2 linked regions of the Sus scrofa genome follow. The protein of the gene in region 1 interacts with the protein of each later gene in a pairwise test. Links are inferred from orthologs where the notes say so. Each region holds a gene or a part of one and is shown on either strand. Other genes may lie near its edges.

The links.
Region 2: the proteins of PHYH (region 1) and PEX7 interact in a two-hybrid assay, tested with the Homo sapiens proteins (2 studies listed by BioGRID, with this or other methods). The link is inferred for Sus scrofa from reciprocal best matches to the Homo sapiens genes PHYH and PEX7.

The regions. Positions count from the first base shown.
Region 1 is NC_010452.4:48,407,283-48,410,800, forward strand, and holds part of PHYH (phytanoyl-CoA dioxygenase, peroxisomal), read left to right. Parts: intron 1-396; coding exon 397-446; intron 447-2,215; coding exon 2,216-2,326; intron 2,327-2,940; coding exon 2,941-3,109; intron 3,110-3,518. UniProt on the Homo sapiens protein: Catalyzes the 2-hydroxylation of not only racemic phytanoyl-CoA and the isomers of 3-methylhexadecanoyl-CoA, but also a variety of other mono-branched 3-methylacyl-CoA esters (with a chain length of at least seven carbon atoms) and straight-chain acyl-CoA esters (with a chain length longer than four carbon atoms).
Region 2 is NC_010443.5:27,312,030-27,315,547, forward strand, and holds part of PEX7 (peroxisomal biogenesis factor 7), read right to left. Parts: intron 3,422-3,518; coding exon 3,308-3,421; intron 1,826-3,307; coding exon 1,770-1,825; intron 1-1,769. UniProt on the Homo sapiens protein: Receptor required for the peroxisomal import of proteins containing a C-terminal PTS2-type peroxisomal targeting signal. Specifically binds to cargo proteins containing a PTS2 peroxisomal targeting signal in the cytosol.

The DNA.
Region 1 (3,518 bases):
GTTTCTCCCTATTTCTAGAATAGAGCCTTTCCACTATAGTGGAGTGGAAAGAACAGACGTATGGAATACAATAGACAGAAGCTATGAGGTATAGGATGGGCCAGGTCTTGGCTCAACAGTTTTCTGCTGGGTGACCTTGGACCAGGTACTGAGCGCACTCCCCCAGCTTAGGGTTCCTGCCCTGGGCAGCAGGAAGATAACCTTGGGCTAACTTTCATCAAGTTATTGTGAAAATGAAACAAAGTACGCAGTTGTGCATCAGAGCTTATGTGTGTAATTAGTTTACACCACCACTGTTTAGGTCTAGCCTTCCCTTGGGAAAACCAGTCTAGGGTGGACTTTCTAGAAAAGGCTGACTCCTAAATTTTACTTTAATTGCCTTAATTCACATCCCAGACAGCTCATCCCACTTCAGGGGCTGCCAAGTTCCAACCTCAACAATTCCAGTAAGTAGATCTAATTTTAATTTTTAACCATATAATGTATATAAAGGTTTTTTTTTTCTAGTGGTAACTAGGACATAATCTACATGTTGCCTGATGAGAGTTTATTATACAAATCCTCCATTTCCAGGACTTGTTCTAATTAGAATGATTGTGGAAAATTTTGAAGACCCTGTTTTTTTTTTTTTTTTTGCCTTTTTTATTGCGGGGGGGGGCTGCAACTGCAGCATATGGAAGTTCCTGGGCTAGGGGTTGAATCGGAGCCACAGCTGCCAGACTACACCACAGCTCGTGGCAACACCGGATACTTAACCCACTGAGCGAGGCCAGGGATCAAACCCTGTGTCGTCATGGATACTAATCTGGTTCTTAACCAGCTGAGCCACAACGGGAACTCAAAGGAGGAAACATGTCAGAAACTATATAATGTTATTTTTTAAAATTCAGGCATAGTATATCTCACTTAAATTAGTCGTAGCTGTGGCCACTGGCCTTACCACAGCCACAGTCATGCCAGATCTGAGCCGTATCTGCAACCTACACCACAGCTCACGGCAACGCTGGGTCCTTAACCCACTGAGCAAGGCTAGTGATCGAACCTGCGTCCTCACGGATGATAGTCAGATAGTCAGATTCGTTTCCGCTGAGCCATGATGGGAAATCCTATTTTTTATTTTTTAAATTTATTTTTTCACCACACCTGTGTTATGTGGAAGTTCTTGAGCATGGAATCAAACCCACGCCACAACAATGACAACCCCACATCCTTAACCACTAGGCCACCAAAGAACTCCTGCCCTTCATTTTTTTTTTCAATGCCTGAGTCAGATCCCATTGAGTGGATACAGTATAATTAGTTAATTACCTAACTAGTTATATATAACTTCAACTTCCATTAATTATATAACTGAATTATATAACTTCCATCTTTTGGCAATAGTTATTAATGCTTGGGATTTAAAGTTTTGAAAATTTTTTCAGATTATATGCTTAAAGTTGTAGAAACAAATGTTGAGGGGAAGGGTATAAACATCTCTCACGTTCTTGAAACATACTGTTAGGTTGCGATTTTTATTTTTATTTATTTATTTATGTCCTTTTAGAGCCACACTCCCAGCATATGGAGGTTCCCAGGCTAGGTAGGGGTTGAATCAGAGCTCCAGCTGCCAGGCCTAGCCACAGCCACAGCAACGTAGAATCCAAGCCTTGTCTGTGACCTATACCACAGCTCATGGCAATGCTAGATCCTTAACCCACTGGGCAAGGCCAGGGATTGAACCTGCAACCTAATGATTCCTAGTTGGATTCATTTTCACTGCGCCACAACGGGAACTCCTAGGTTGTGATTTTTTTTTTTATCACTCAAATGAATTTATCACATCTGTAGTTGTATAATAATCATAACAACCCCATTTCACAGGATTTCCATCCCACCGCCCAAGCACATCCCCCCACTCCCCCAAATTTTATTTATTTATTTAGGTCTTTTTAGGGCTGCACCCGAGACATATGGAGGCTCCCAGGCTAGGGTCCAGTTGGAGCTACAGCTGCCAGCCTACGCTACAGCCACAGCAACTCGGGATCTGGGCCGAGTCTGTGACCTACACCACAGCTCCTGGCAACGCCGGTTCATTAACCCACTGACTGAGGCCAGGGATTGAACCGGCGTCCTCATGGATGCTAGTCGGGCTTGTTAACCACTGAACCACAACGGGAACTCCTAGGCTGTGATTTTTAAATTGTACTTATGTGAGATTTCTTTTCTCCTTTAGGTATACTCGGGATAATAATGTTCTAAGCCTAGAACAGAGACAATTTTATGAAGAAAATGGGTTTCTTGTCATTAAAAATTTGGTATCTGATGCTGATATTGAACGCTTTAGGTACAGTAACTCTGTTTGGTGTTTTACAGAAATATGTGTTAGGCGTATATAATGGGACTATGAATAAGATTAGCTCATGTGTGTTCAGATATTTTTCAGGAATTGGGTTTGTTGGGAAGTGGTGTCAGAACCTGGGTTCAACCCAGACTGGCTGGCTTTAATCTTAGTCCTATTACTTAACACTCTATGCCCTGGGCTGTTTACTGCACCTTCCCCTGACTGTTTTCTATCTGCAAAATGAGGGAAATAATGTACTCATATCATATTTTTTTAGGACTAAATAGGTAAAAGAGAGAGTACTTTGAACAGGGCTGGACACTTAGTAGTGCTATGGAAGTGTGTGCTGTTTTATTCAGATAAAACCAAATCACCAGTATTTTCCCACTGGTTTGCTAAGCTCAGGAATATCTGAATTCCAGCCTTGCAATCCAGAGGCAGGCCCTTCCAAGTTGGCCATTTTCTCCTTCCTTTCATCAGAACTATTCAGTCTGGGGCTGGAGGCCAACTTAATGCAGAGAAACCACCCCCAAACCTTCGAGTCCTTCCACAAAACAAGATCATGCAGGTGCTTGGGGCCAGCGGTGATGACATCATTTGCCAATTTAATTTTCTAGGGTTCAGTTTGAAAGAATCTGCAGAGAGGAGGTGAAACCACTGGGATTGATGCTGATGAGAGATGTGTCCATTGGCAAATCTGAATATGTTCCATGTGAGAAAATGGTCTCCAAGGTCCAAAATTTCCAAGAAGATAAGGAGCTCTTCAGATACTGCACCCTTCCTGAGGTTCAAGAACGTCTCATGTTTTCTTTCTCTTTAACAGCCCACCTGCACCCCTGCCTCTGCAATCTTCTAATTTTATTTTTTACTTTATCTAGCCCCTTTCTCCTGGGGCCCTAGAGCTGTGGTGGATACTTGGCACTGTCTGGAGATATGTCTGGTTGTCATGCAGGAGGATATGTGCTGCTGGCTTCTAATGGGTAGAGGTCAGGGATGCATTCCTGAGGCCCAGGGATGCGCTAAGGCACAGAGTCACCCCTTCCCCCAAACAAAGAATTATCCATCCCAAAATATCAGTCGTGCCAAGATTGAGAAATCCTGCTCATAATTTTGCAAATTATTTTTGGTTAAGAAGAGCAGGAATTCTGTGGCGTTTCCACTGTGACGCAGCAGAAATGAATCTGACTAGTAGCCA
Region 2 (3,518 bases), on another chromosome or scaffold:
AGTTTTTTTTTTAAAGAAACAGAAAAAAAAAAATCCCTAAAGCCAATATCATCTTTGGATACTGATACAAAATCTCTAAACAAAACATTAGCAGACAGACTCCAATACCACAGTAAGATGATACACAAAACACAAGATGGATTTTGTCCAAGAATCCAAGGTTGGTTCATCCCTTAAAATAACACACTATATTAATAGCTCCCAAAAGAGAAATCATGATCATCTCCACAGATGCTGATAAAGCCTTCAACAAAACTTAACATCCATTTTCCACGCTAAAACAAACAAACTACTCAAGAAAACAGGAGTTGATACATACTTTCTCAGCACGATAAATAATGTATGTACTTGTCTTAAAGCCAGAATCTTACTTTTAACAGGGAAACCCTAAAGGCATTTTTTTTACTAATACAAGAATTAGGGCATCCTTTACGTTATTTAACATTGTAATAGAGCTACCTGCCAATGCAATTAGATAAATCAATTAGGGGTATCAGAACTGGAATTGAAGATGTACAGTATCTTTGTTTGTAAATGATATGATCTTGAACCTGAAAACCCCTAAAGAATCAGTGAGTTTTAAATGGTAGACAAACAGGTACACTTCAATACTGCTGCTTTGAATGGAAACTGATAATATTACTTAAGGATAGGAATTTGGTAGTATCTAGCAAAACCATATATACATGTATTTACCTTTTAATCCAGGACCCCATTTCTATGAATATACTCAAGTTAATTCTCTTGTGATGTGAACATATACACATAAAAGATTATTCATTGCAGTACTGTTTATTTATAAAATTTGAAACAAGCTAAATGCCCATATGTAGGAGGGTAGATGAAAAAAACTATAGTACATTTGCATAATGGAGTATTATATAAAATGAGAAAGATTTCTATGAACTGATATACAGTGATCCCCAAAACTACCTTCTGAGCACTCTACGGTAGCAAACAAGTAGATATGTTATGAATAATAAAAATCAAGAGTTAGGAGTTCCCATCACGGAGCAGCGGAAACTATATCTGACTAGGATCCGTGAGGATGCAGGTTCTATCCCTGGCTTTGCTCACGATGCCGTGAGCTGTGGTGTAGGTCGTGGATGTGGCTCGGATCTGGCACTGCTGTGGCTGTAGCACGTAGGCCAGCAGGCATAGCTCCTCCGATTTGACCCTATAGCCTGGGACCCTCCATATGCCGGGGGTTTGGCCCTAAAAAAAGTAAAAATAAAAATTTGGAAAAGGAAAAAAGTAGAATGAACCCTGTGTGGAGTGGGATTAGAACTGGGGGTATGAATATAGATACACACACATATATACATATATTCATACACAGAAATACATGTACACACATATACATACACGCTCATACATACATTCACAAACATACAACTATAACAGTTTTAGCCTTAAGATTTATAATTAGACCTGAAGAAATAAAATGTCAAAGTTTTCAAAATCTGAATTTAAAAGATATTGGCTATTACATCTATAGCATAGAAAGATATTACTCTAGAAACAACTGTCAGGGAAAAAAGCTTTTAAACAGAGCAGTCGAACTCATCTTTTAATAATAAAGAATTTACTCATATATGTGGCCAAATCATAAAAACAGAAAAACATATTAAACCCAGTGGCAAATTAATGTGCCCAGCTTAGATTATTTTTATATTAGTCAGATAAACATATGATTATCCTTCATAAAAGTTGCAAGTATGCAAGTGGTACTTGTATTTCAAAATGAAACACATCAAAAATCACTGTACCTTACAGTAAAGTCATAGGAGCAAGAAGCCAGCACGGAAGCATAAAATGGTGAAAACTACAAAAAAAAAGTTTACTGTAATTATAACATGCCTCTGCATATGGTCACTCCCATGAACATTATAATACATTCAAGTTCAGTCAGGACTGTTGCTTAAAATTATGCTTTTCCAAACCTTCTATGCTTTAATTAAAGGCAAAAATCATCTAACCTTTTAAGTATCCACTACAGGAAAAACAGTTGTTTTTACATTCTTCAAAGGAAATCATCTCTGAAGCTTTTTAAAGCCTATTTAGACTTAAGTATTCCTAAAATGTTGCTATTCTGGAAAAATTACATACAATTTCATATTGGCTCTCCAAAAATAATTCCTACAAATATGAAGGATTTAAGTATATAATAACACATATACATAATTATCTAATTTACCAGTTTTGTGAATATATATGATTGCTATTAGCACAAGCATCGAGTAAACACTTACATGTTAACAAAATTTTAATAATTTTTATGTTATTTGTATATGACATAACGAAAAGTATATCAAGGTCAAAAACCGAAACGTTAAAGACAAGTAATATACGAGTAATTGACATGTTTTAATAGGCTACTCATTGCAATTTTATTTCTTTAGTGCTTTTCTTAACAGTATTTTAATAGTATATAATTACATTTGAATGTTCTTCATAGTTTGTAAAGAACTTTCACTACATTACCCTATTTCATTCTCAGAAGTATTATGCAATACATATATAAGACTACTAAGACCAGTGTGCCATTAAAAGAAAAAATCAGGGCACTATGGTGCCTATGTTGAGTTGTAATCAGTAAAATTTAAAATATTAACTTAAATACAATTTAAAATTTTTCAAATAGGAATAACATAATTATCTTAATGAAAGCATCAAAAAAGGTGCTTTTTTATCCTTACTGTAGAAAATGAAGAATGAAATTGAGATGTCCCTTAATAAGATTATTTTCCACAGTGACTTAGCAAAATTTACTGGGAAACAAAAAGTCACCTTACAACCTGACAAATTGGGGGGTGGAGAATAGCAGAAAAAATTACTTCAAGCTCTTTTGTTTACAAAGTGGAAAATTTTCTATACCCGAAACTTCTATGAACATTCACAAATATAATCACATTAGGAAAAAGAAAGAATTAACCATCTCTCTGTGTAAGTTTCAACAGAGAGTGTCCCAGTGAATGGGAAATTATAAATAATGTAATACTAAAGGTAAATTACTATAGTTAAAAATATTAAAAAGAACAGTAGAATGGGGATGACAGGATGAGAAAAGCACTTTTATTTAATTCTAAGTACCGCTTGACTATACTGTTCTAATTCATTCAATAATTATTCCAATAATTTACCTTATTTTAGCTTTCAAGGTTCATTATCATCCACTGGATAACAAAAACATACATGAAAAGAATCAGTAACCTCATCCCCTAAACATCTTTAATATTTACATCATTGATTATATTTATATATTATATTTTTGTTCTGTGTATAAAAAGAAAAGATAAAAACTTACTTTCACTCTCCTAATAGCATACGTGTGACCAAGAAGTTCAAATACTGGTTGTCGTACATTTCTCAAGTCCCAGCCTCTCAAACTACAATCAACTGCCCCTGTCACCAACAAATTCTGAAAACAATTCAGGGAAAAGTAAACTGACATCTTTGTAATTAAACAGTACCCAAGCTTTCCTACTAGAAATAGTATCTATTTTCTGTTACTTATT